4 linked regions of the Arabidopsis thaliana genome follow. The protein of the gene in region 1 interacts with the protein of each later gene in a biochemical or structural test. Each region holds a gene or a part of one and is shown in the gene's direction. Other genes may lie near its edges.

What was found.
Region 2: the proteins of DCL1 (region 1) and DRB2 interact in far-western blotting, tested with the Arabidopsis thaliana proteins (one study listed by BioGRID).
Region 3: the proteins of DCL1 (region 1) and HYL1 form a complex in vitro, tested with the Arabidopsis thaliana proteins (4 studies listed by BioGRID, with this or other methods).
Region 4: the proteins of DCL1 (region 1) and DRB5 interact in far-western blotting, tested with the Arabidopsis thaliana proteins (one study listed by BioGRID).

The regions. Positions count from the first base shown.
Region 1 is NC_003070.9:20,870-28,163, forward strand, and holds the start of DCL1 (dicer-like 1), read left to right. Parts: upstream 1-2,546; 5' UTR 2,547-2,649; coding exon 2,650-3,582; intron 3,583-3,672; coding exon 3,673-3,786; intron 3,787-3,882; coding exon 3,883-4,093; intron 4,094-4,171; coding exon 4,172-4,566; intron 4,567-4,654; coding exon 4,655-4,874; intron 4,875-4,955; coding exon 4,956-5,128; intron 5,129-5,211; coding exon 5,212-5,334; intron 5,335-5,422; coding exon 5,423-5,583; intron 5,584-5,673; coding exon 5,674-5,907; intron 5,908-5,992; coding exon 5,993-6,143; intron 6,144-6,229; coding exon 6,230-6,412; intron 6,413-6,502; coding exon 6,503-6,667; intron 6,668-6,748; coding exon 6,749-6,844; intron 6,845-6,933; coding exon 6,934-7,294. UniProt on the Arabidopsis thaliana protein: Ribonuclease (RNase) III involved in RNA-mediated post-transcriptional gene silencing (PTGS). Functions in the microRNAs (miRNAs) biogenesis pathway by cleaving primary miRNAs (pri-miRNAs) and precursor miRNAs (pre-miRNAs).
Region 2 is NC_003071.7:12,132,001-12,139,530, reverse strand, and holds DRB2 (dsRNA-binding protein 2), read left to right. Parts: upstream 1-3,289; 5' UTR 3,290-3,615; coding exon 3,616-3,861; intron 3,862-4,258; coding exon 4,259-4,478; intron 4,479-4,594; coding exon 4,595-5,433; 3' UTR 5,434-5,799; downstream 5,800-7,530. Other genes in the region: AT2G28370 (Uncharacterized protein family (UPF0497)), read right to left, coding at 6,084-6,275, 6,366-6,498, 7,225-7,439. UniProt on the Arabidopsis thaliana protein: Binds double-stranded RNA. May be involved in RNA-mediated silencing.
Region 3 is NC_003070.9:3,135,753-3,143,433, reverse strand, and holds HYL1 (dsRNA-binding domain-like superfamily protein), read left to right. Parts: upstream 1-3,080; 5' UTR 3,081-3,315; coding exon 3,316-3,340; intron 3,341-3,836; coding exon 3,837-4,099; intron 4,100-4,502; coding exon 4,503-5,474; 3' UTR 5,475-5,785; downstream 5,786-7,681. Other genes in the region: AT1G09710 (Homeodomain-like superfamily protein), read right to left, coding at 1-163, 240-504, 1,036-1,404, 1,603-1,689, 1,951-2,140, 2,236-2,315; AT1G09690 (Translation protein SH3-like family protein), read left to right, coding at 6,004-6,240, 6,770-7,027; AT1G09680 (Pentatricopeptide repeat (PPR) superfamily protein), read left to right, coding at 7,504-7,681. UniProt on the Arabidopsis thaliana protein: Double-stranded RNA-binding protein involved in RNA-mediated post-transcriptional gene silencing (PTGS).
Region 4 is NC_003076.8:16,435,611-16,442,451, forward strand, and holds DRB5 (dsRNA-binding protein 5), read left to right. Parts: upstream 1-2,654; 5' UTR 2,655-2,836; intron 2,837-2,928; 5' UTR 2,929-2,936; coding exon 2,937-3,182; intron 3,183-3,276; coding exon 3,277-3,496; intron 3,497-3,590; coding exon 3,591-4,306; 3' UTR 4,307-4,445; downstream 4,446-6,841. Other genes in the region: AT5G41060 (DHHC-type zinc finger family protein), read left to right, coding at 1-75, 533-715, 793-1,083, 1,171-1,404, 1,490-1,930; AT5G41071 (uncharacterized protein), read left to right, coding at 4,459-4,641; GDPD2 (PLC-like phosphodiesterases superfamily protein), read left to right, coding at 6,248-6,317, 6,401-6,585, 6,808-6,841. UniProt on the Arabidopsis thaliana protein: Binds double-stranded RNA. May be involved in RNA-mediated silencing.

The DNA.
Region 1 (7,294 bases):
AAGAGGATGTCGTCATAAATAAATTGGAATTTGGCATTTAATGAAAAAGGGTGAAAGGTGCTTGACATACACGCGCCGTAGTTTCTTACCCGGAAAGGGATTGGTATTGATGTTAACTAGACCGGGCCCGGTTTAGGCTGGGGCGGCGGCCGAACCGACCACCTGGCTACTATTCTTGTTTGTATTCGCTGATTCTGCAAATCTAAACTCGGATCTTTTATGGACTTGGATTTTCGGGTGGGTGGGGTTCTGCTAAAGAGACGGCGCTCTTGTCATTTTAAGTCGGTCACTGCAAAACGTGAACCCTGTGACTGTATTTAGAGTCTCGTTACGTTGGATCTCTCTCCATGAACCGTCCAAAGTAGGTCAATTTTTGTGGGTTCACTCACGTATACAACGAAGTACGGCGCTATTTAATTTTCCGAAAATTTTGAAAGAGACTTTTATACCAGAAAAGTTTGTAATCCAAATTTTTAATATATTGCAGATTTGGTTCGTTTTGGGCTTAAAGAGCTTTTATTGGTGTGGTGGCTCAAATCGTTTTTGTAGGCGTCAGGTCAGGCCCATTTTCAATGTCGCTTGCTCATTTGATACGCTAATATAGGGCTTTGCTTAAGATTTGAATGGGCCGTACCCCCATTTTGCTTCATGAGAATGGGATGGTAATAAAGAAAAAAATGACAGGAAACAATGAATTGGTCACGAAAAAATGTTGTATTACTTTTTCCAAAATGCACCTTTGAGAATCTTAAGATTCAATCATACAGTGAGGTCCATGTCCACAATAAGAAATCAAATACCAAACAAAGTATAAACGTGAATTGTAAGCTAGGCAGTGTATGAAGATGCATTTGTCTTAAAGTTACGAATCTGATAAATAATATTATTCGATCGACTTTAGATCGCTTTCCATGCAGATTTATGCAATTATCTGGAAGAAGAACAAAACAATATCTTAGTTTCTTCGGCCTCACTATTCGACTTCTATCTTCAATATATTTTCGCGTATTTTTTTATTTGAATTATTTGGTTTTTGGTTAGTTAACTAAACGAGCAACAGAACCAAGATCGAATTGCGTTTGCCGTTTGGATTCAATTATTGTAGAAAATTCGACTTTTCAGACATTTGTTACGTTCTTTCTAGTAGTTATATTAGTTATTATATGTGGAGTGGAAAGAGATGAAAGTAGATGTAAAACATAAGTGATTTCTTCATAGTGATTTTAAAACTTTTTGTTGATTTTCAAAATTATATAATATCCATAAAAAATAGCCTATGCGTGTTGGATGCTTACAAAGAAGAATTTGTTTTCGGCGTTAGCCAAAAGTCGATGGCATTTGCTAAAGGTGTTATTTGAGTGGAAATGATCTAGAACAAAAACGCATTGATATACCACCACTATAATGATTTGGAGACGTATCTAGTTCTCATCAACTTTTCAATAGTAAACGCATTATCAAGGTAAACGAAGAGTTTTGCTTTATCAGTGTACCATACACACATTAATAGATTGATGGACGTTAGTGACTTTGGTATTGACTTTAACGCCAAATGGACATCAATTCTGCAAGGCAATGCCTAGTTTCAAAGCAGCGTTACTTAACATTTAACTAAAGGTAGTGCAAACTGGTTAATACTTTTTAACGGCTTTGCAGGAAGAGTCTCGACTAAAAGGAGAGGAAGAGATGAGATCGACGAAGATTTTCATATCATAAAAAGTAATATAGGTTTTTGAAAATAGTTAGAATAATTATTTTTATTTTTATTTTTATGGGAAAGAAGTTGCACGAGTCGGTCCACAGAATGACAGAACAAAAGCATTTTAGAAGTTTAGAACCAACCAATCACTATAGTTTTCCACTTGTCCGTATCTCATTGGTTCATCGAATATTAACTTACATGGAAACAGTAAAAAGCGTGGAATAAGTCGTAAAACTGAAATCTAAAAATGAAAAGATTTCGATTTCGATATAAATACTTAATCTTTATAAAATAATATCGAAATCTTTTCATTTTTAGTTTTCAGTTTTACACTTTTACTTGATAAATTTAATACATCTGTTAATTTTTTTTCTTCTAAAATTAACATATGATATCTATTCGGGAGATAACCCTAAGAAAACTGATAAAATAAATAAGTTACTTTTTACAAAGTCGAATAAATTATTTACCCTTCTGCTTTAATGGCAATTATCTTAATATTGCAAAAAAAAAAAGAGAGAAATATTACTACAAAACAGAAGCAAGCAAGTGGAAAACAGACCAGAAGAGAGAGGAAGACGAAGAGAGAAACAGAACAGAGTAGGGATCGATAGACCGTGGAATCTCAGAATCACAAACACTTTGCAAAAGGGTTTTCAATTCCTATTTATTTACAAAGAAATCATCAATAGTAGTGGTCTCTAGGGTTTTGCTTGCTCTTCTTCGTGACCCCTTTTTACCTGCAAACAACAACTTCAAAATTGGCGTGTTTCGTACGGTCTATCTAACCCTAATCTGTCACAAAACACTCTTCTTCTCTCACCCCTTTTTCTGGGTTTATTCAATTCTCGTGCTTTTGGTTCTGTTTTCTTCTCTGGGGATTTGGTTTTCTTGAGTGAGTTTTTCTCCTCTTTCTTATGTTCTTGATTTGATTATTATATAGAATTATGGTAATGGAGGATGAGCCTAGAGAAGCCACAATAAAGCCTTCTTATTGGCTAGATGCTTGCGAGGACATCTCTTGTGATCTTATCGATGATCTCGTGTCTGAATTTGATCCTTCCTCTGTTGCTGTCAATGAATCCACTGATGAAAACGGCGTCATCAATGATTTTTTCGGTGGGATTGATCACATTTTAGATAGTATCAAGAACGGTGGAGGCTTACCAAACAATGGCGTTTCTGATACCAATTCTCAAATCAACGAGGTTACTGTAACTCCTCAGGTTATTGCTAAGGAGACAGTGAAGGAGAATGGGTTGCAAAAGAATGGCGGTAAGAGAGACGAATTCTCGAAAGAGGAAGGAGACAAGGATAGGAAGAGAGCTAGGGTTTGTAGTTATCAGAGTGAAAGGAGTAACCTTTCAGGTAGAGGGCATGTTAATAATTCTAGGGAGGGAGATAGGTTTATGAATAGGAAACGTACTCGTAATTGGGACGAGGCGGGTAACAATAAGAAGAAAAGGGAATGTAACAATTACAGAAGAGATGGTAGAGATAGAGAAGTTAGGGGTTATTGGGAGAGGGATAAAGTTGGTTCCAATGAGTTGGTTTATAGGTCAGGGACTTGGGAAGCTGATCATGAAAGAGATGTTAAGAAAGTGAGTGGTGGAAACCGCGAATGCGATGTCAAGGCAGAGGAGAACAAGAGTAAGCCTGAAGAACGTAAAGAGAAGGTTGTGGAAGAGCAAGCAAGGCGATACCAGTTGGATGTTCTTGAACAAGCTAAAGCGAAAAACACGATTGCTTTCCTTGAGACCGGTGCTGGAAAGACACTTATCGCGATTCTTCTTATTAAAAGTGTTCATAAGGATCTGATGAGCCAGAACAGAAAAATGCTCTCGGTGTTCTTGGTTCCCAAAGTGCCTTTGGTTTATCAGGTACCGCCTAATAAGAAACATGTTTGTATTCTTTTTTAAAAAATTGGTTACCTATTGGTTTTGGTTGGTTGATTTATCTTACGTTATCAGCAAGCAGAAGTGATCCGTAATCAAACTTGTTTTCAAGTTGGACATTATTGTGGTGAGATGGGACAGGACTTTTGGGATTCTCGAAGGTGGCAACGAGAGTTTGAGTCTAAGCAGGTTGCTTTTTGATGCTTCTTTTTCATACCAGCTTTGATCTTTTATATGAATCAGTTCTTGAAGTTAACGAGTTTTTTTCTATTTTCTTCTACGCAGGTTCTAGTTATGACAGCACAAATTCTGTTGAATATACTGAGACACAGTATCATTAGAATGGAAACAATTGATCTTCTTATTCTCGACGAGTGTCACCACGCTGTCAAGAAACATCCATACTCTTTAGTGATGTCAGAGTTTTACCATACAACTCCTAAAGATAAAAGACCTGCCATCTTTGGAATGACTGCTTCGCCTGTTAATTTAAAGGGTACTGATTGTTTCTTGTATACAGTTCTCTAAGCTTGCCAATGTTCTTGAAAGTGACACTTTTTGTTTGTAAACGTAGGTGTTTCAAGCCAAGTAGATTGTGCGATAAAGATACGTAACCTCGAGACCAAGTTGGATTCTACGGTTTGTACTATAAAAGATCGAAAAGAATTAGAGAAACATGTGCCTATGCCTTCAGAGATAGTCGTCGAGTATGACAAAGCTGCTACTATGTGGTCTCTTCATGAGACAATAAAGCAAATGATTGCAGCTGTTGAAGAAGCGGCACAAGCAAGTTCAAGGAAAAGCAAGTGGCAATTTATGGGGGCTAGGGATGCTGGAGCAAAGGATGAATTGAGACAGGTTTATGGCGTCTCTGAAAGAACGGAGAGCGATGGTGCTGCCAATTTGATTCATAAACTTAGAGCTATCAATTATACTCTTGCTGAATTGGGTCAATGGTGTGCTTACAAGGTAAAAAAACAACTTAGTAAATAGTTTTCGATAATTTGAAATGGATATGTTATTTTCATATGATATAATTTTTGTGTCTTCTTTCAAGGTGGGACAATCATTCTTGTCTGCTTTGCAAAGTGATGAGAGGGTGAATTTCCAAGTCGACGTGAAGTTTCAAGAATCATACCTCAGTGAGGTGGTGTCACTCTTGCAATGTGAGCTTCTGGAAGGCGCTGCTGCTGAAAAAGTCGCGGCGGAAGTTGGCAAACCAGAAAATGGTAATGCACATGACGAGATGGAGGAGGGAGAGCTCCCTGATGATCCTGGTAAGTATTAATCACATTCTTTGTCTAATCGCTTTTTACCGGTTTTAGAAATCCAATATTAACAGAGCTCTATGGTTTTAGTGGTCTCGGGAGGGGAGCACGTTGATGAAGTAATAGGCGCCGCAGTGGCTGATGGGAAAGTTACTCCAAAAGTACAATCATTGATCAAACTACTCCTCAAATATCAGCACACAGCTGATTTTCGAGCTATTGTTTTCGTTGAGAGGGTGGTTGCTGCTTTGGTTCTTCCTAAGGTTAGGATTAAAGTGAAAAAAACAATTTATTTTCTTGTGTATAATTTTTCTGCCTATGTCTCTCTGAGCCTGGAAATTTTCAGGTTTTTGCGGAGCTGCCTTCGCTTAGTTTTATACGGTGTGCCAGCATGATTGGACACAATAACAGCCAGGAGATGAAATCATCTCAAATGCAGGATACAATTTCCAAATTCCGAGATGGGCATGTATGATTTTTTTTGTCTTTCATTAAGACATATTTTTTTTTTATCTTATACTGAAATGTCTTACTATTTCCTCTTTCTACTGTGATAGGTGACACTGTTAGTTGCCACAAGCGTTGCTGAGGAAGGACTTGATATTAGGCAATGTAACGTTGTTATGCGTTTCGACCTTGCAAAGACGGTGCTGGCATACATTCAGTCTCGTGGCCGGGCAAGAAAGCCTGGATCAGACTACATACTCATGGTTGAGAGGTACATAAAAAGCTTTAAGAACTACATTTTGATTTTTGTAACTACTGGTCACCAAATCAGTACTGATATGTCAACTTGTGTTACTTGCAGAGGAAATGTATCTCACGCAGCGTTCCTAAGGAATGCTAGGAACAGTGAGGAGACACTTCGAAAAGAAGCAATAGAAAGGACTGATCTTAGTCATCTCAAAGATACATCGAGATTAATCTCAATTGATGCTGTGCCTGGTACAGTTTATAAGGTGGAGGCAACTGGTGCCATGGTTAGCTTGAATTCCGCGGTTGGTCTTGTACATTTCTACTGCTCTCAGCTTCCTGGTGACAGGTAAGTTTGCCGATAATTTTTATTGTCCTAATGACCTCTCCTTTTCCTGTATGAGATGATGGATTGCTTCTCTCTCGTGTCTCAGGTATGCAATCCTTCGTCCTGAGTTTAGCATGGAGAAGCATGAAAAGCCTGGGGGCCACACGGAATATTCATGTAGGCTTCAGCTTCCTTGCAATGCACCGTTTGAAATACTTGAGGGTCCTGTTTGCAGTTCAATGCGTCTTGCACAACAGGTGGACATAATAGTTTGTTTGTTTATCTTACTTGTTATTTTCTTTCAGTGTTCCATGTCTTGAAGTATTGCGTGTTTGATATGTAGGCTGTATGTTTAGCTGCTTGCAAGAAACTGCATGAGATGGGTGCATTTACCGATATGCTATTACCGGACAAAGGAAGTGGTCAAGACGCTGAGAAGGCTGACCAAGATGATGAAGGTGAGCCTGTTCCTGGAACTGCTAGACATAGAGAGTTCTATCCTGAAGGTGTGGCGGATGTACTTAAGGTAATATTAGCACTAACCTATGAAATTTTTGCTAAATGTGCTTTTAGAGGAATGTGGTTTTCAATATTTGACTGTTTATACCATGCACAGGGAGAATGGGTTTCATCTGGAAAGGAAGTTTGTGAGAGCTCAAAGCTATTCCATTTATACATGTATAATGTCAGATGTGTAGATTTTGGCTCTTCAAAAGATCCATTCCTAAGCGAAGTTTCAGAGTTCGCGATTCTTTTTGGCAATGAGCTGGATGCAGAGGTTGTTGTTTCTCTCTCCATGGATTTGAGTATTAGAATTTGAAGATGTAACCATGGTTAACTAAGATTTGTTTTACTGTATCAGGTATTATCGATGTCTATGGATCTTTATGTTGCTCGGGCCATGATCACTAAAGCATCTCTTGCTTTCAAGGGATCACTTGATATTACAGAAAACCAGGTTAGACTGAACAACAACCTCTATTTTTCCTAACATTTATGTTTGCTTGAGAAACTTTTTATCTTATATTGGTGGCATTTCTTGTGCAGCTATCATCTCTAAAAAAGTTTCATGTGAGGTTAATGAGTATCGTGTTGGATGTTGATGTTGAACCCTCCACGACACCATGGGATCCTGCAAAGGCCTACCTGTTTGTCCCTGTTACTGACAATACGTCTATGGAACCCATAAAAGGGATCAACTGGGAATTGGTTGAAAAGATTACGAAAACCACAGCGTGGGACAACCCTCTTCAGAGAGCTCGTCCCGATGTATATCTCGGGACTAATGAGAGAACTCTTGGTGGGGACAGAAGGGAATATGGGTTTGGTAAACTTCGTCACAACATTGTATTTGGGCAGAAATCTCACCCAACTTATGGTATTAGAGGAGCTGTTGCATCCTTCGATG
Region 2 (7,530 bases), on another chromosome or scaffold:
CCATCACTGTGGTGCTCCTTCCTAATTATTTTATTTCTAATTTTTCATTTATTCTCAAATTACAAAATAAAAAAGTTTGTATTCCTTTTAAAAGATAATTTTTTACTTACTACATGATAATTTGGGCTATGTGCCTATGTGCAAGACAATTATCATGTGTATATGTGATTTTTTTTTTTTTTTTTAACTTTAAGCAATACTTCTTATATGCTTAATGACATCAGTCGCATAGTTGCATAATGACATCAGTCGCATAACAAAATTCCGCATAACGAAAAATACATGATGAAATAATCAACTATATATCCACTTATTTACATATTGAATTTGTACTATTTTTTTAGATGAAAAGGCTGTCATGTGTTTAGATAAGTACTATTATGCAAATTTTGTGTTAAGATAAGTATTATGCAAATTTCTTTCTTGGTTAAATTCTTGCATAATCGCATCAAAAACGCCAGTATGTGTTATTCATTGGAGCCATAATTCAATTCTAGAAAATATTTATTAATGGTTACTTCCTCTATTTCACTATGTTTGTAGTTTAAAGTTTTTTTACACAGATTAAAAAAACACAAGATTCTCATTTAATTTATCTATTTTCTATAAATACATCATTAACTACACCTAATTGAACCAATAAGAAAATAGGATGTAAAATAGAATTGACCAAAAATTATTAAATATATTTACTTTTGCATAGAAAAATAAAAAGAACACTTATTTTGAAAGAAAAAAAAGTTCCTTAAACTACAAATATAATAAAACAGAGGGAGTATAATTAGTTTTTAACTTTTAAGTTTTACAGAGTGATGTATTTTCATGGTTACTAAACTCACTGGCCTATGCAGTCAGTGGTTAGTTCATTACCATATTTGACAAGTTCTTTAATGGTATGCTATTATTGTTTTAGATATCTTATGACTTAAACTCTTAAGCGAATCCAAGAAATCCAGATTAATAATGCCTCTTCAGACAAAATCTGAATTTGTTTTATCTTCTCAAGACATTACGGATGAACAAGGGATTAATACAATGCTTCTAATTAAATGCTCTGCTTAAATGCACCTGCTTAAAATATTATGACCCCGAAGTAAATGTATTTAATTACGAAGTTTATAGTTACACATTAATTACTTTGTAAATTAATTCGTCATTAAATAGGTAAGGAAATGGTGACCAAGGGAGAGTATTCCTCTCGTTTTCTTCCATCTTTATGTCCTTAAAATCGTTGGGGTTCGCATTGGACATTCATTTGGATATTTATTTCTTCCTATTATTCCTTTTTATTATCCGTTTGTTGTCACATTTGCATCTTAAAACGTAATGGCAATAGTAAATATTACACATATTATTAACAACATTGTTCTTTATAATCTAACTACTCACAATTTGTAGTTTAATGATATCTATTATTACTATCGAATACGATATAATATACTAAGTTTCAGTACAAACAATTTATTCTAGCTTTCTGTTAGTACAAACAATATTATGTGCATATAATGAAACTTTTCATGTGGTTAAATGAGTTAATATAAGTCGCAAGAAAAAAGAAAACTAGTTAGTACAAATTTATGTGGTTATGTGATGGATCAGTCAAACTTCATCAACTTCGGGAGATTGAAATAGAAAAACGAAAACAAATATAAAAGTAAATGTTGGCCACTAAGCTTAACTATGATTATGAATTCCACCTTTTACTACTGCAAATCACTCACAGCGTTTATTACGATAATGCCCCTTATCTCTCTCTAAACGTAATAAGCATTTTGGTAATTTCATGATTTCACATTTGTTCCTCCTCTCTCTCTCTACCCATTGACTTGTGTGGACATGGTTTCAAAATTCATCAAAAGCTAAATTATTCTTTAGAGATGTGTGAACATTAAGTTTTAATATATGAAAATAAAGTACGCACTAACTTCTTAGGTTTCAAGCTGTTTTCTAGTATTTTGTTTTTTCTTTTCTTTCCATTTTCATATTCCTTTTTATTAGAATACGACTTCAGACTTCCCACTAATTCTATGATTAAGTTAAAATTATACATCAGTCGAACATATTTTTATTTGTTTTGATGAAATATTTTATTTAACTTCTACTATTGAAGAAAAGCATATAGATCACACTATTGATATATAAGAAAAATTATACTAGAAACACATCTATGAAATTTTGTTAATTTTTTTTAGAGAAACTTACTATTATTTTCTTTAACCAATTATTTTTTATAAAACTAAAATGAATCAATGTGGTAGATCAAAATTGGAGACCGCACAAATAAACAAAAGATTCAACATAGAAACAAGTTAAACCCAACTTTATAGTGAAAAAAGGAGGAACAGCCATGAGATTGAAGTTTCATGGAACCAAGGTTGTAGCCTATCAAAAACGTATGTGGGTTGGATAGATCAAAATTAGAAACTTTTGTTTCAAATGGTAAAAGCAGTTATTTCACAATTCATAGATAGTTGAATGCTAAAAAAAAAATAGAGAAGATTTGGTAAGTATTAAAAATATAAAAATTGATCGGAGTAGATGTGAATCATGTGATGACCAAAAAAGATTTGACAACCAAAATTGTCTTTTTTTTTGGTGTTTTATGTATTCAGCCGTTTCCTAAGTGTTATTATAGACTTTACGGTTTCGTTTTCTCCAAAAAAAGTTTATGATTTTTTTTCACAAATTCAAAATGTATCTATTATACATAGTTGATGATGGAACTTGTGCGGATTTTTCAATTTTTTGTTTCTTTTGACCGAGATTTCAAATTACGAGTTAACGTTAAACTGAGAAGTCGCATGGATTACACATTGTTTAACTAGCTACACATGATTAGAACAAGTTAAAAATACTAAACATATTGTTTTTTTCGCCAAAAACAAGAAAGTTAAACCGTTTTGACGAGTGTTGTTATAACTTCGACCGTTTCGATGAGTGTTGTTATAGATTCTGCCGTTTCGTTCTTTCCATAATTCTCTTTTAACTTCTTCTCTGTTATTACAAACGTTAACAAAACTTAATAAACTAGAATTAACCTGTTTATTCAAATAGACTTATTTTTTTCATACCTTACAATTATACAAATTGTTCAATATATATTTAATCTTATGTTTTATGAAAATTCAAATTATAAAGCTTACAATAGTGGTGGATTATAGTTAAATGTTTTTTTTTGTTTTTTAAATCCATAAATTAAGATACATACAAAATTAGTATAGTATAAAAAGGAAATATAAAAATATCACATCCATGCAGGCTAACGTTCAGTTGACTAGCAGCGATAAAAGCAGATAATTAATTCTCACATTTAATTTTATTTTATTTTTTCCATTAAAGCAAAAACCCCACACTCTCTCTCTCTCTTGCTCCTCCCTCTCTTCCTCTCTCTATCTCTCTCTGCAAAAACCCTAAATTTCCTCCGATTTCACCATCTTCAATCTCCTTCACACCCCAACTTAGCCTCTTAATCACTCCCCAAGCTAAACCCTCCAACGATTTTCCATGATTCGAAGATACAGAGCCTTAGCGATGAAGAAAAAGCCCTAAAAACCAAAGCTTTGATCTCTCCGAAATCGGAGTTTCTTTCTTTGTTTGGTAAATTTGGTTTTCGAAATGTATAAGAACCAGCTACAAGAGTTGGCTCAGAGGAGCTGCTTTAATCTTCCTTCGTATACTTGTATTAGGGAAGGTCCTGACCACGCGCCGCGATTCAAGGCTACTGTTAACTTTAACGGCGAGATCTTTGAGAGTCCTCAGTATTGTTCTACTCTTCGTCAAGCTGAACACTCTGCTGCTGAAGTTGCTCTCAATGCTCTCTCTAATCGTGGTCCTTCTCACTCTCTTGCCGCCAGGATCTTGGTTTGTTTCGCTTCCTCTTACTCTCTTTGGCATTTTACTTGGAAAATTGTGAGCTTTGAATGCTGAATTTGCATGTTGTTTTAGGTGCTTTAGGTCACTGATGGGTTTAGTTTGTGGTTAGGTTTTTACTTATTAGGGTCGGTGCTGAGATCTCTGACTTGCTTTTTAGGGATTTGGGTTTCTGGGTTGTCTGATTAGAGAGAGTGATCTTCACATTCACTGATCTATGGATCCAAAGTTTGAATCTTGTTCTTACCCATTGATTGGTTTGGGACTTAAATGAGTAGAACAAATAACTTTTGTGATTTTGGATGCATGTTTACTTCTGATGTTTTGCTTGTTGCATGACTGATGATACTTTTCTTGGCTCTGTTCTTTTGGATTATGGTTTGTGTAGGATGAGACGGGTGTGTATAAGAATCTTTTGCAAGAGATAGCTCAAAGAGTGGGAGCTCCTTTACCGCGATATACTACTTTCAGGTCAGGTCTTGGTCACCAACCTGTGTTTACTGGTACTGTAGAATTGGCTGGAATTACGTTCACTGGAGATCCAGCTAAGAACAAGAAGCAAGCAGAGAAGAATGCTGCAATGGCTGCTTGGTCTTCCCTAAAACAATGTGAGTCCTAATTCTGATTTTGTCAGTTTTGATATGGTTTTAGTTTAACGCAGGCGTTGATCAAATGTAACTCTGCTTACATGGTTTGATGTTTTTTATGTTCTTCTTGGTAACAGTGGCAAAAGAAACATCAAGTTCAATGCCTGAGCCTGAGAACATTGACGAACTAGAACAGGTGATTATAGCAAGAGCTTTGATAAACTATCGTATCAAGGAAAACATTGGCACAGGAAGCTCCTCGAGTGCCCCAGTTCCATTTGCAAAGAAGTTCTTTATGCAGAACCTTAGACCAACAAGTCCACAGCCTTCTCCTGCAACCACATCGAGAATCTTACCCTTTATTTGCCCAAAACAACCTTCCAGAAGCAGCAGATCATCCTTAGCAGCAACTTCCGGTATTGACAGAATTATGGCAGCAGCCTTGGAAAGCCGCAGCTACCAGCGGCCTCAGCAGAGATTTGCAAATCCGCCTTATGTTCCTATGAGGCAATTTAGATCGCAATGCCATGGGATGGCTCCACCTGTCACAATCAGAACCGCTGTACCGGTCTTCTCTGCACCTCCAATGCCTCCTCCACCATGTACAAACAACACTCAGCTACCTTCTTCTGTGTATGTCCCATCGCTGATGCGAACTGCACCACCTGTGAGGATCGCGCCGCCTGTCACAATCAGAACCGCGGTGCCCGTATTTGCTTCTGCGCCACCGGTTAGAATTAGAACCGCTGTGAAGCCCACAGTTGAGGCAGGAGAAACCCGCATATCATCAGTCCAAGAAAAGGAGAGTATACCAGTCTTGCCTGATAGTCTTGAAATTGGAGTAGAAGGAAGTACTATAACAATTACAGATTGTGAGAAAACAGCGTCAAAGGAAACCGAGAGAGCAGAGTTTAAGGATTCATCGAAAGGAGAACCGGAGACAGCAAGAGAGCGACTGGAGAACCTAAAGATCTGATGCCTTGAAGACTGTCTCTGGGTTTAGTTTTTTTTGAGGTTGGTTTCTGAAAATTGTTACATTAGTAATCTCGTTCGTTATTATACTCGGTGGATCGAGTAGTTTGATAATCCGAAAGATTTGTATTATATTGGGGAGTTTTGGGAAGAACCTGGCCATCTCTGGATTGTAGAATTGTATCAGTTTCGCTTCCTATTCAGTTTGTTTGTGTCCTTTTTCTCATCTTTTATAAATCTGTTACCTATCGTTGTTCCAGCAGAATCAAGCTCTTTGTCTTACACGACAGCTATGACACATATCTCAATGAGTCTTTGGAACTTCGAATTTCTCCTTTAGCTAACAAATTCAGTCAAAATATTTCAGCACACGAGCCATATGTTTTATACAATATAGTTTTTGCAATTCAGTCAACATATCATAATAATGCATTCAACATCTGAAATTTCTTCAATCATACAACAAAGCCGACCAGATAGTTTCATTGTACAACAAAATGAATAAGGTCGTCGTCTACAAAACAATTCCCAGTTTCCAAGTATTGGGTTTGAAGAAAGTTGGTTCCAAACCCAAAACAAGAAAGAAGAAGAAAAATCAGTCACTATACACCGAAAAACACACCATGAAAACACATCTTGCTGAGCAGTATCGTGTCAACGGGATGCAAGAGACCAGAAATTGAAGAGAAACGAAGGCAAAGCAGCGAACCAGCTTATGAAAGCTAATGCCGTTGATGTTTCAAACTGAACACAGTGGTTTTGTGCGCAGCTATTCAGATCGTTGTCTATTAGAACCGTTATGCCTGCCGATGCACAAGCTGCTGCAAAAGTCAGCGTCGATGTCACCTGAAATAATGTTGAAAAATGCTTATTTGTACACATCTCTTTTCTCATACGATTTTATTAAATTGAGAGGCTAAATGGTAAATCTCTTACCCCATCACCAATTGCAAACAAGCTCACAAGTCGACGGTTCTGTAGAGAGCGTTTGACCATAATGGCATAGACGTCAACCATGGCTAGTGCAAGACTCCACAAGCTCTGCAGACCAGTAGCTGCAACTAGGTAGCTGATGAATCAAATACAGTAAACCATCTTAGCAGATTCTAACAGTCACCAAACATGGTTTAATCACATAAAAGCATAAAGGTTTAACCCAATATACTACCCATCCCGTACAATCGGTTCAACTATCACATTATGTCCACAGCTTAACACTGCTACTACAAAGATTCATTCATCTGGACTCTAGAAAATTTGCAACAGGAGACCTACATACAAAGTACACCAGTGCCTGTCACTAAGGCAAACTTACCTAAGTAACCACTACCAGACACCATGATGCAAAGCATGATTAATAACCAAATTAAACAACAGTGACCAAATGAAAAACATGATATGATAGCCATTTTATCAACATTAACTTCTCGAAGAAAGCTCATCTAGTTAAAATGATCTTTATGACCATGATATATCCCGGATTAGCAGCTACATCATATTACTGGGCACCAGTAATAAAATCCCCTATACACAGCTGTTAACTAGCTTCTAATAAGCCTTAAAGATACTAATAGACTAGCAAGCCTCATAACTTATCATATTAAGCCACAAACCCGATGCTTATTTTGTATTGCACTTTCGGAAATGGAAACAACAAAAAGCAGATTCCAGTTCATAGTGTATAGCATATTGGAAGAAAGATAGGGTGCTATCACATCCGATTCTGATAAATACAGATTCTCACAGAAGTTTATAGTAAAGCATATATTCGATTTCTAATAGACCAAAGTCTTACCAGAAGGCGGTAACGGAAGGAAAATCACTAGTAGAAGCCATGACACAAAGAGCAGCAGCAGCAAACAAGAACTGAAAAAAACGCAATGCAAGACCAAGCAATGTTCCAGGCATTCCTTCCATATCATCCATCCTCACCCGAGGCGGATTCTCTACTTCCGTCGCAGCTGCAGGAGGATCTTCCACTGGATGTACCGATGCATGGCTCACATTCATTTCTTCTTCTTCTTTCCTCCACCAAACTCAACCAATTCAACACATCTCTCTCTCCCTTCCTCTTCACCAATAGCTGAATTACAAATCTAAC
Region 3 (7,681 bases), 3.1 Mb from region 1:
GCTGTTGTTTTTTTAACAACTCGAGACTTTGCAGCCGGAAGTGATGTTCCTGCCCGAGGCAATGCTTGAACAATTGGTTTGGACTGTTGTTGACCTTGAGAAGAACTTCCCCCATTCGCTTCCGTTTCTGTGATGGTACAAGATGACGTCGTTGGCATAAGACCTGCATAAAATGCAGTCTAATTGATGAACCAAATAAACAAAGAAAATTACCCAAATATTATAACCACAAACCCCACCGCAGTTAAACAGGTAAGCTAATTTCTGATTTAGACAAGCCAGTGGTAACCAAACCAAAGCATCCTCTGTTATAACATAAATACTAGAATTAGCAGGGAAGGATCTTCTGCTACTTGTACCTATTGCAAGCTTATTTGAAGGGGGCCGATTTCCCAGAGCTAAAGATAATGCATGGTTAACTGCTAGTTTCGCTTCAGTTCCTTGTAGGCCACATTGGCTAACAGAGGTCGAAGTGTGACACCTTTTTCTTATAAGCGCCCACCTCTACAAAGAAAATAGTCAGTTGTTACCACCAATAACGGAAAAAGAGTAAGCAATTGCAAAATGTCCCATGCTCGTCCAAGTAGCTAAAGTATTGTTAAGTTTTATCAGATGGAAAGTATATGCGTAAAAAATACAAAGATGGATACAAATATCATAAAACTTAGTCTTATTAGTCTTATTAGCTACCTTCTATGATTGCCAAAAGACTATTACTCATATCATCCAAAGAATCTGTTGCCGGGATTCGAACCCGGAAAAATGGGGAAAAACCCCACGTCCATACCAGACTAGATGACAACAGATATATTTCTAGAGTAATTACCAAAGTGGTACTTCGTCTGTAAAGAGCCACCACCTCCAACAACACGAAAGAGGGAAGGTAATATCCACCATTCATCGTCAACAGAATATAGATAATGATGCATAAACAGGTTGTAATACAAAGAACAAGACTATAAGATACACTACAAAATGACTTCAAAGAAACTAATGAAAAAAGAGCAGTCAATATTGAATAAGAGAAATCACAACCTGCGAGAGTTGGGAGGCGGTTCTCTCTCCTCTAAAGTCTCCCTTAACAATATGAGCCCAGTTCCCTTCACCACATCGCTTTACAGCGGCGAACAGCTCCTCATCCTCCTCAGCAGACCATCTTTTCCTTTTCCTCCGAAAAGCCATGCTAATACCAGCTGAACCATTTCCATTCATCCCCTCGGTAGATGTAACTTTCTGAAGACAGACCGGAAAGTTGATATTCATCCCTCTTGACGACCAAGGAGACTCTGATGGTTCCTGAGAACCCTCAGGCAAAGCATAAGGTATGTTTATAGTCAAGGGAGCCTCAACTGTTGAATCGTCGAGTATATCAGACTCACTTAGAACATATGAAGCAGCCATCACCTGGGAATACAAGAGAAACGAAAACTTAATGATATTTGGATAAAATGGGAACTCTGGATAAGCACAGATTGATATGCAGAACAAGTAACCAACACACTAATCATTAAGAAAACAGCAAGGTGTTATCCTGAATAGAGCCTAGGGACTTCAGATTCTGAAATTCTGTCAAGGGAATGAAATCTATGATTCCGTTCTTACTTTGACATGTGCAATAGCCTCCACTGATGCTTCATGGCTGACTGCAGGAGAAGCTTCCAATTCGCACTCCATGTCACTATCGTCGTCCTGCACAGGCAACTTTCGTTTAAAAAATCTGTAAACTACACCAGCGAGAGACACTCATCGATCCCTAATGCTACCAAGAAGTTTTAGTATCCACTGCCACATAGAACATAAACTAGTATTTCATCACACTCACTTCTAGATGATACTGATAACACAAAGTAGTAGTGAGTTTTTATTGAAGAAAACTAACTAACTCTACAACATAAACTTGAGTCTTTTACAATTCATCAAAAGTGGAAAGAGGAGAGACAGAATAAGTACCAGAGGTAGAGCATCATCTTCCACAGGGAGGAGAGGATGCCGATAAGAAAGATGACGCCATAGCAACTGGTACTCTCTAGCATTAGTAATTCCGGTAGTGGTCTTCTTCACCAACGCATTCCAGTCCATCTTGGTTTCGGAACAATAAGATATCTCCTGTAGCATTCTCAGTATCGTCTCCATATCATATCTGCGTCAATAAATCAAAAACCCCGGCCACACTGACTAAACCCAAATCCACTAACGTTTTCGGAAAGAGAAAACAAAAAAAGGAGATATTTTTACCTCAGCAAAAGAGTGGCGATGTCGCCTTCAGTAATGATTCTCTTCCTGCGATTGCTACTAGTATTATTATTAGCAACCATCTTCGTCGTATTTATTGCAACAATTCTGCAGAGAACAGGACAAAGGAATCAAATTTCACCAAAACCCGAGGGAGTTATAGACGAAACGAAACGACAGAGACTTACGCACGAGGGAATGCCCAAGAAAACCGGTGAAGACGATCGGAGAAGAAGATGGTCACGACTGTCGAAGAGCGTGGAGAGTACTCGCGTGGCAGAGGTGTTTCGGAAGAGAGAAGAAAAAAAAGGAACGAAAAGGAAGGTGGTAAATTCGACTATTATTATTCTACGCTTATCAGAAGCGAAAAGTATGGGCTCAAATATTTTTCTTTTCTGGTAAAGGGATATAGGATCAAGTGGGCTCAAATATGGGCTCAAATATTTTTCTTTTCTGTTAAGGGACATAGGCTCAAGTGGGCTCAAATATGGGCTCAAATTGTTTTTATTTTTTATTAAACGGTTATTATCATTATTGATGTTTACTTGGAGAACAAATTAATTATTTGTGAATACAAAAACTGTGTGAATATAACAAAGGGATTACTAGTGAATAAAGTTAGCCATAAAAAGGTTAATCAATTGTGGATATATACATTAGTTAACTACATATGAAATACGAAATTAGGCTATATGTAATTAGTTTTTTAATTAAATTAAATATTTCAAAGATAAAAACATTTTGCTTTCATATAATATTCACAAGTAAATTATATTTATGGAAAATTTGACCAAAAAGGTAAATTTATGGAATATAATATAATTTATAAAGGTTTGAAATTAAATTCAATATTAACATTTGTAACATAACAATTAAGAACCACCTTCTTTCGTTTGCCCTTGTGAAAAAAAAACAAAAATAAAAATCAGTAAAGAGGAGGAAGTCGAGGGGAGAGGGTTTTTGGTGAAGAAGAATCATCTCTCTCTCTCTGCTTCTTCGCAGCAGCAGCACGTTTCTTTCTTGCTCTTCGCCGTGCCCTACTAACCTATTATTCGTCTCTTCAGCTACATTCTGCTCGTGAAAATGACCTCCACTGATGTTTCCTCTGGTGAATTACTTCTTCTTCTTCTTCTTCTTCTTCACCATCATGTCTGCATTATCTCTAATTCAACATTCATGGGTTGTTTTTTCCGGGTTTTAATTTTGAAACCAGATCATGCTTTTTCCCCTTTCTTCTGTTCTTTACTCACTTCTTTCTTCTTGGAAATTGGATTGCAGTGTTTTGATTAGTTAGAATTTACAAGTGTATCTGTCCCTTGTGGGTTTAAGCGTAGATCTCTCTGGCAATTGGCAAGTTTACTCTTTTGAGATGATGATTTATTGACTCAATTTGTTAGGGAACATAGAAGCTTGGTTTAAAACTGTCTCTCCCCTTTTGGATAAGTATAGTTTCTTTGTGAAAGTCGTCAGCTTTATTCAGAACTCGTTCACTGCTGTTCCCTGTTGTCGTTTTGAGTTTATTTGCAATTTATGCTGTAGTGGATAGCATCATCACTGTTTCTGTTTTATCTTTTGCCTCATTTTGAAGTTTTTTTCCTGCTCAGGTGTTTCCAATTGCTATGTTTTCAAAAGTCGGTTGCAGGAGTATGCTCAGAAGTACAAGCTCCCAACGCCTGTTTATGAGATCGTTAAAGAAGGCCCTTCACACAAATCTTTATTTCAATCGACTGTGATACTGGATGGTGTCAGATATAATTCTTTGCCTGGATTCTTCAATCGTAAGGCTGCAGAGCAATCAGCTGCCGAGGTTGCTCTCCGGGAATTAGCAAAATCCAGTGAGCTAAGCCAATGTGTTTCACAACCTGTTGTAAGCACCTCATCTTTCTTATTTCGCTCGTGATTATTGTTAAGTTCACTGCAAAACTATTGAACCTAGCCTAGGGGTTTAGCAGCGAATTGTAGCTTTGCCATCTCAGCAGTAGTCCTTATGCTTAGTTTGAGCGTTGAAGGTTTAAAGGGAAGCTCATGGTTAGTTTCAGAGTTGAAGGTTTAAAGGGGAGCTGTGAGAATACGTTAGGGGGCATTCTGTATTTGTCTAGGCTCTTGGTTGGACAATGATCGAGATTCAAGAGTTTAAAGAATCCACTCATTAATAAAGTGTCTTCTGTCTTATCGGATTTATGTGTATTGCCAACTTCTAGAGGGAAGATTCTTAGGCTGTTTCTGTAAGTTATTGCTCTTGTCTAACTTTGAATGGCTTATTAATGCAGCACGAAACGGGATTATGCAAGAACCTACTTCAAGAATACGCTCAAAAGATGAATTACGCGATTCCATTGTATCAGTGCCAGAAGGTCGAAACTCTTGGGAGAGTTACACAATTCACATGTACTGTAGAGATTGGAGGCATAAAGTACACAGGAGCTGCAACAAGAACTAAAAAAGATGCTGAGATTAGCGCTGGGAGAACTGCTCTTTTAGCGATCCAGTCAGACACTAAAAACAACCTTGCCAACTACAACACTCAGCTTACTGTACTTCCTTGTGAGAAGAAGACAATACAGGCAGCTATCCCGCTTAAAGAAACCGTCAAGACTCTTAAAGCCAGGAAGGCTCAGTTCAAGAAGAAAGCTCAGAAAGGAAAACGCACAGTAGCTAAAAATCCTGAAGATATTATCATCCCTCCTCAACCTACTGATCATTGTCAAAACGATCAGTCAGAGAAAATTGAGACAACGCCAAATCTGGAACCTTCTTCATGCATGAACGGGTTAAAGGAGGCAGCATTTGGGAGTGTGGAGACAGAGAAAATTGAGACAACGCCAAATCTGGAACCTCCTTCATGCATGAACGGGTTAAAGGAGGCAGCATTTGGGAGTGTGGAGACAGAGAAAATTGAGACAACGCCAAATCTGGAACCTCCTTCATGCATGAACGGGTTAAAGGAGGCAGCATTTGGGAGTGTGGAGACAGAGAAAATTGAGACAACGCCAAATCTGGAACCTTCTTCATGCATGAACGGGTTAAAGGAGGCAGCATTTGGGAGTGTGGAGACAGAGAAAATTGAGACAACGCCAAATCTGGAACCTCCTTCATGCATGAACGGGTTAAAGGAGGCAGCATTTGGGAGTGTGGAGACAGAGAAAATTGAGACAACGCCAAATCTGGAATCTTCTTCATGCATGAGCGGGTTAAAGGAGGCAGCATTTGGGAGTGTGGAGACAGAAGCAAGCCACGCATAACAGTGTCAAGATGGAGTCTTGTGAGTTTGTCATAGTTACTATATGGTTACGTAGCCATTTTGTGATTCCTATCTAGTCTAGTAGTAATTCACAGATTGAAGAGAAGTAATATTTGAGCGGAAAATCAAAACTAATATGATTGGTACAATTTGGTGGTCGATTGAGTCATTCGAATAAAGTAATGTGGGGTTGCAAAACAGAAGCTTCATATCTACATATAAATGAAAATTACTCTCAAACTTCATTATTTGTGGGCCGGTTATAAAAACACAAACCCAACAGAAGGTCCATTACCCTCACTCTTCATTATTTGTGGGCTGGTTCTAAAAAACAAAAGTCCAATAGAAGGTTCATTACCCTCACTCTTGATTATTTGTGGGCTGGTTCTAAAAAACAGAAGCCCAACTTGCTGACCCAACAGGTCCGTTTACGAAACCCTAATCTCAAAACAGAGATATAAATACACTCTGCCTTCCTCATTTCATTTCTTCGGCGATCTAGGGTTTTAGTTGTCGCACGAGGAGGAAAAATGCCAGCGGGTCATGGAGTTCGGGCGAGAACGAGGGATCTGTTCGCGAGGCCATTCAGGAAGAAGGGTTACATTCCACTCTCGACTTACCTGAGAACCTTCAAGGTCGGCGATTACGTCGATGTGAAGGTGAATGGTGCGATCCACAAGGGTATGCCTCACAAGTTCTACCACGGTCGTACTGGTCGTATCTGGAACGTCACTAAACGCGCCGTCGGTGTTGAAGTCAACAAACAGGTCTGATGAACTCTCCTATCTCTTCAGCTTTTGTGTCATTGAATTAGGATTTGAGCTTCTTAGTGTGCTATTTGGATTGTTGATCTATTGCTTTGATGTAGAAATGTGTGATTGAGTATAGGTTTGTGGAATGTAAATCTTCTTCTATGCTACAATTGAGCTCAGATTTTGAGTTTTAGCTCAAAGATGTTATCTTCTATTATGCAGTAGCGTGGTTCGTGATCCTGTTTCAGATTTGAAAGTTGATTGCTTTGGTCTCGTTTAGTCTTTAGCCTTAGCACGCAGTGTTCATATGTTCCCAGTTATTCAATACTTCAACTCGTGTTCATTAAACTGCTAGTGTGTTTTCTTTCATGACTATTTAATTGTTAAACTTTGGCCTTTTTTACTCATCTTGTTTTTATAAGTCTCTCTATAGATGTTACTGTGTAATATGGATTATGGATTATCCTATGACAATAACACAAATCTTTTTGCTAGTACTACTTATATTGGGTATTATGACTGACACATGTTGGGGGTGTTTCAGATTGGCAACAGGATCATAAGGAAGAGGATTCATGTGCGTGTGGAGCATGTGCAGCAATCAAGATGTGCTGAGGAGTTCAAGCTGAGGAAGAAGAAGAATGATGAGCTCAAGGCTGCAGCCAAAGCCAATGGTGAGACCATCAGCACCAAGAGACAGCCTAAAGGACCCAAACCAGGATTCATGGTCGAAGGAATGACCTTGGAGACTGTCACTCCAATCCCGTACGATGTCGTCAACGATCTCAAGGGAGGCTATTAGTTCTATCTTCCCAGTGTTTTGCAGTTGTTGCTTCCGTATTTGAGTTTCTCTTCATGTGTCTTAGCTACAATTTCTGTAGAATCTCCAGATATTTTATGAAACAGATCTTTTTATCTCGTTTATAACTATCATTTTCATTATCTCTTCTGTTACTTACATTTAACATCTTTATTTAGTGATTAGTCAAATTCTTTGGTGAACAAATTTTCGAGATTATTTAAGGAGACATTTTCCTTCTAATTATAGCATCTTACAATATAACCTAGTCGATGTTGCCAAGTGCCTTTCTGTTACAGTCTTCCTCGATTCAATTCGAAATAATAACGCATTGAACCGGAAAATTAAACGCTAACCAAAACGAACCAGCTTCGCAGAAGTCCGGTTACTCATTAAGAACCCGACTTTTCATTCAAAAGTCACTGCCTACTCACTGGAAATAGCCGGTTCCGGAGAAATTGAGAGTCAGAGTCTCAGAGATGTTCAGAATCGAAATTCTAAGATGCACACTCTCTCAATCTCACCCACAGAGATTCTCTCGTGCATCATTCCTCTTGTCAACATGGTACTCTCAAGAATCTGTCTCCGCGGCAGACAACGACGATGACCCAGTTCTTGTTAAACTCTCAGTTGCCATCAGAGATTCTTACAAGGATC
Region 4 (6,841 bases), on another chromosome or scaffold:
GTGACGCCTCCTCAAAGATCCGGTTTTGGATCCGATTGTGATTTACGGGTTTACCAAACATGGAAAGGAAGCAATGTGAGTTTTAATGTGAAAGCTTTAGGTTTTGGAATTACTTGCTTCTGTGTTTATACTTGAGCTAGTTTTCTGTTATTTTTCCTATTATTGTGTATAAATTAATTATTAATCCGTTCATGGGCTCAGTTTACTCTGTTTCCAATCTTGTAAAGCTTAAAAATTGGGACTTGGGTTTGTGTTAGAAGTGTAGCTTTCTGGGTAGTTGTCTACATTTAATCATGAAATCTTTACCTTTAATCAATACCTTAGGACATTATCTGAATATGCTTGCTACATTTATAGGAATGCTTCTTCATACAAAGGTTATATAGTTGATGCTGTCTGTATATTGCTTTCAATGTCGAATTTAAATCTGGTTTAGTAGTAACCTAGTGGAATTAAACATTTTGAGGTTTGTTCCTTAAATCCTTCTACCCAAAGTGTTAACATATTTTCTAAATTTGTCCCATTTCTGCAGATATTTTGTCTTCAAGGAAGGTTTATCTTCGGGCCGGATGTAAGATCACTTGGTCTGACCATAAGTCTTATTGTGGCACCTGTTACAATTTTCTGCATCTTCGTCGCTAGCAAACTAATGGATGACTTCTCTGATAGTTGGGGAGTCTCAATAATCCTTGTTGCTGTTGTCTTCACCATTTATGTGAGTACAAAAGTTTAGCTTTGCATTGTAAAACGTTTTGTGACTGGATCATTCATAACAATTAATGCTTCCCTCAGGATTTGATTTTGCTGATGCTTACATCCGGAAGAGATCCAGGGATTATCCCAAGAAATTCTCATCCTCCAGAACCAGAAGTTGTTGATGGCAACACGGGCTCGGGAACAAGCCAAACTCCAAGATTGCCTCGTGTTAAAGAAGTGGAAGTTAATGGAAAAGTATTCAAGGTCAAGTACTGTGATACTTGCATGCTCTATAGACCGCCTCGCTGCTCACATTGTTCGATTTGCAACAACTGTGTAGAAAGGTTTGACCATCACTGTCCTTGGGTTGGTCAATGTATTGCTCAAGTAAGTTTCTCGGTTTTTCGTTTTCCTGTCCGTTAGTTTCTGACATCAGTCTATATAATTCATCTCATTCTCCTTGGGAATTTGCAGAGAAACTATCGATTCTTCTTCATGTTTGTCTTCTCCACGACTCTTCTCTGTGTATATGTGTTCGCCTTTTGTTGTGTCTACATAAAGAAGATCAAAGAGTCCGAAGATATAAGTATCTTGAAAGCAATGCTCAAAACTCCAGCTTCCATTGCTCTGATACTCTACACATTCATATCTACATTCTTCGTTGGAGGCTTAACATGTTTCCATCTCTATCTCATCAGCACAAATCAGGTACCCTAATCATTTGCCTCTTTCTGAAAAAACCTCTCTCATTCGATATGCGTGTTTAATCGTTTGATCTTTCTTTATTCTGTAGACTACATATGAGAATTTCAGATACAGTTATGATCGGCATAGCAACCCACATAACAAAGGAGTGGTTGATAACTTCAAAGAAATCTTTTTTTCTCCAATACCTCCTTCAAAGAACAACTTCAGGGCTATGGTACCAAGGGAAAATCCAATGCCGTCGAGATCAGTTGTTGGCGGTTTTATGAGTCCAAACATGGGAAAGGCCAATGATGATATTGAAATGGGGAGGAAGGGTGTTTGGGCAATGGCTGAACATGGTGATGGCAAAGATGGCAATAACAATGAACGGTTTCATGTTAACGACAATGAGTTAAACGAGTTATCACCAGACATGGGGAACATAGTGAATGGTGATGAGCAAATCAATAGGCCAAACAATCACCCGAGGAACGCAAACTGGGAAATGTCACCAGAAGTTATGGCCTTATCAGCAAGAAGAGCTTAGAAGCAGGTTAAGAGAAAATTGAAAGGTGTTTTAAATGTTTGATGTATTGATGTGTTGTGTGTTTACACGGGAATCAATTGTGAATTGGTGTGATATTTTCAGATGTTATGAGTATTTTTAGTTGTTCTTCAGACATTTAAATCGTAAATCATTGTGTGTTAGTGTAATCTATGACTTATCTTTCACAGAATGAGAAAACAAAATGAATACCGACGATTTTCATACTGTACTTTGCATATGATAAAAATTGCAGAAACTGAATTTTCAGACAAGTGGACCAGAAGACCAGACAACTCTTATTATAGTCTTCATTGAAGCACGGCTCTGTAATAAATGCAAAAGAGCTCTAAAGGCTTCTTATTTGTTCTTCAAAGCTCTAAAGTCTAAAGGTTAGAGATTTAACATCACAAGCCAACATTTTTGGTTTAGGAAATTGAAGATTAGCAATAATATAAAGTTTTTTTGGCATTGAACAAAGACAAAACACAATGAACATAATCAACAAATTGGTCAAACTAAACATTAATAAGTGCCTCAAAGTATCAGACTAAATCATTTTCACTAACATTTATGAAAAAATAACTGTTATTAACTGAGGACGAAGGTAACTGACCAGTCAAACATCATAGACAAAGACAATAAAGAGAGTCAATAGCATTGTTCATAATTGTTATTTGTATGCACATGTTATAAATTATATAAAAAGACTAACCTTATTTCAATTGAGATGTCACTATTACTGTTTTAGCATCCTCTTCTACTCTTTATTTAGAACCTTTAGTACCTTACCATGTGAGTGAAGAGTTCAAAAACCTCTGCAAAAACTTTCTTTTTTATCTCTCTCTCTTCTTTAAACTTACTTTCAAACACTAAATAGCCAAAACTTAAGATACCAAATTTCAACAGGTCGGCTTTTTCGTTTGTCTTCTCTTAAGACTTTACCAAAAGAGATTTGTGGTTTCTGGAGTTGACTTTGGTTGATTTTGGTGTATTTACAGGGGAAAAAATGTATAAGAATCAGCTTCAAGAGCTTGCACAGAGAAGTTGTTTCAACTTACCATCATATACTTGCATAAGAGAAGGACCAGATCATGCTCCAAGATTCAAAGCTTCTGTTAACTTCAATGGTGAGATATTTGAGAGTCCCACTTACTGTTCTACTCTCAGACAAGCTGAGCATGCAGCTGCTGAAGTTTCCCTTAATGTCCTTTCGTCTAGAGTCCCTTCAAAGTCTCTAACTGCTAAGATTCTTGTAAGTTCTCTGTCTTTTCTTCTTGGTTTTGATCATACACAAAAAAATGCAAAAAGAGTAACATCGTATATCTTCATGTCACTCTTTATACAAGGATGAGACAGGGATTTACAAGAACCTGCTTCAAGAGACAGCACATAGAGCTGGTCTTGATCTACCAATGTACACAAGTGTGAGATCAGGATCTTGTCACTTCCCAGGTTTCTCTTGTACTGTTGAACTTGCTGGGATGACGTTTACAGGAGAATCAGCAAAGACAAAGAAACAAGCTGAGAAAAACGCAGCCATTGCAGCTTGGTCCTCTTTGAAGAAAAGTATATATAACTATCTTCCAAATTGTTCCATCAACCCCAAAAAAGCTTCTCACTTTTCTACTTGAAACCATTTTTCTGTTTCTCTACTGTGCAGTGTCAAGCTTGGATTCACAAGATGAAGAGAAGGAACAAGAAGCAGTAGCAAGAGTACTCTCAAGATTTAAACCCAAAGAAGTAAGAAGACGAGAGACAACAAACCAATGGAGAAGAAGAACAAGTCAACAAGATTCAAACAAGGATTTGTTGATTGAGAGATTGAGATGGATCAATCTTTTGACCAATCAAGCTTCTTCATCATCATCAACATCAACACCGAATCAACACAAAAACTCCAGTTTCATCTCTCTAATTCCCCCACCACCACCACCTAAATCCTCCAAAATTTTGCCATTTATCCAGCAATACAAAGACAGATCATCACAAGAAGCTAAGACAGAGACAGCGACAGAGATGATCAACAGCAAAGCCAAAGTCAATGAAACATCAACCAGATTGAGTAAGCAAATGCCCTTTTCCGACATGAACAGATACAACTTTGTCGGAGGGTGTAGCGTAAACCCTTATAGTCTGGCTCCAGCGGTTCAAATGAGATCAGTGATTCCAGTTTTCGCAGCTCCACCACCGAAACCAAACCCCAACCTTAACCCATCATCATTATCATCATCAGTCAATGAATTCACCTCATCCAATAATTCCTGCTCTGTTCTGAATACGCCGGGATTGGGAGGCCAAGAGAAGAAGAATCTAACTCGCGAAATGATCAAACTTGGTTCAGAATCGAGAATTTTGGATCAAACCCATGATAGTTAGCTAAATTTGGTTAATGGGTTAATCTCAAATTAAATCCTTGTCAAGTGTTTGTCACATAGATAAATTATAGACCAGTATGTTTCCGTTTCTTGAATGTGTTCTTGTTTTTTTTGAAGTGTTTGAATTTTCTAAAAGTCCGACATGAACTTTGAATGCTTGCGAATTGCACAGAGAACGAAAACAAAGAGAGAGCATTAATTAGGGAAGAAGATGAAGAAGAGAAATGGGAGTTTGCAAGAAAACAATTAATGGGTTTTGTTTTGTCTTCCTCCATTAATGCGCCGAATGCTCTGCTCTGCTTCCCACTCTTCATCATTAATGGTTTTGCTCTGTAACGTCGGTTCCAACAAATAAACTTAATAATTCGAAATTATAAATTTCACAAGTTACATTTTTCTTTGTGTAAAGATTTTGGACCATATAAACATTATGGTTTGCGAGAATGACGTTTGTGTCATTATCCGATTTAGATCCGTATAATCTATGTTGTTAGGAACTCAGGATTTTGCTCAAATATTCAAATTGGTATATTTTGACTTTGATGAAATTATTTTGGTCAGACCACGAGACTTGATTGCTTCTCAATTATTTGGGCCGGTCCATTAATTTGGGGCCATCTAACTTTTACGTGGGCCGTAACAAACCGAAACATAAAACTAGTGACCTACCTAACCATATTACCCCAACCGGACAGGAGGTAACGAGTTAACCAGCCACTTGTTCGGCTTGGAAATTTTTTTAATCGTCTGACAATTTATGACGTGGATCCAAGTAGCAAGAAAGCTAACATGTTGTTGGATCTGATCTGATCCACGAACCTACCATAAATCAATTTTCTCATTATCTTGACAGGTATATCTTGCATTATTATACGTCAGATTTTCGTGGATACAATATTTTTAAAATGCAATCCATATTTACTTGATTTCCAAAAATGGGTTTTTTCAAAAGCACAATTTCCAAAAATGGATCACAATTTATTAACGGATTCTCAACTTGCAAATCAAGCTTAAATTATAATCTTTTTTAACTCAGAATTTAATATAATCTTTTTTTACTCAGAATTGATTAAACTAACAGTTATATTGATCTTGAAATCACCTTTAATATCTTGTTTTAAATCTTGTGTCTTGCAAATCACGGTTCATAAATATTGGAGAATCGAATAAATAAATTATTTCTATTCCTATATTGCGTAATTTTATTTTTTGACTCTCTATTGCGTAATTACACTCGTCAGATTTCGTGGATGAGTACTCAGTAAATCTTATTTTAATTAAAAAGCTTACTAGTCTAATTGCTGCAAATTTGACCAACTATACAGTTGTGTTGCATTACAATATTTCAAACCATTAATAAAACGTGTAAAACATATTTGGAGTTGAATGAAACTACATTTTCCTTTATGTCAAACGCACTTTTCAAGATATATCTCGAACAATTTACGTATTATTTTCACAAATTTTGTTCCACAATAATTTAGGTTATTTTGGTTTTTGTTGTTGTTTTTTGAGTCTGAAATTTCAAATTTGTATTTTTTTTTAATATATATTTAGGCAGGAATCTTTAAAATGAAACCAATAATATATTCACTAAGTTTGGAAAAAAACCAAAATTTCATAATTAACGGGACAATGACTAAGCTGTGGAAAAGATAACATAATCTCCCAATGACTCAATGCCACGTATAAGATGAGAACCGTACTCTTCTGTGTTCGTACCAGATCCCTCAAAAGGCGGGAAGAAACCATCAAGAAAGGCACATTGCTGACGTGGAATGGAATATTCGAACACGCATATCCAGCTCCTTCCTCCTTTTTCCTCATATCCCTTTTTTCTCAATATAAATACTCTGCAAAAAAACACCCACAAATCCTCACACAAAAACGTTTTCGAAATCCCTAATCTACTCTCTCTTCTCTATATCTCTACTCTTGAGAAATGGCTCTTAGAACTGTGCTCGTCTCCGACGTCCCTAGCCTCCCGGATTCTGTCTACGGTTTATCCGAAGGTATTTCTCTCTCTGTCTCTCTCTCTCTGTTTCGTCGGCTATTGAGCTGTTTTCGTTTCTGATGATCTTGTCTTTGATTACAGGTTTAGAGTTGAGCAAACCGACGTCGTTTAGGTTACCGGGGTTTTCGGTGATTGGACATAGAGGAATCGGTATGAATGTGTTGCAATCGTCTGATCGGAGAGCGAGAGGTGTTAAAGAAAACTCGATTCTTTCATTCAATTCCGCCGCTAAGTATCCGATTGATTTCATTGAGTTCGATGTTCAGGTTGGTACTCCGATCTATGTAATCAACTTTAGGATTTGAATGAGACAGAGGATTGGGGTTTTATGTTTATGTTTTTGTGTGTGGAAGAAGATTCTGATTTAGATATCTATTTATAGATTCTTAGAAATTGAAATGAAAAATAAGAACATGAAGATTTGAAGAAAGAGAGAGAGATGGCACATAGAGAAGCATTCCAAGCTTTGTGTGGTTTTTCTTTTGTAGGTGACAAAAGATGATTGCCCTGTCATTTTCCATG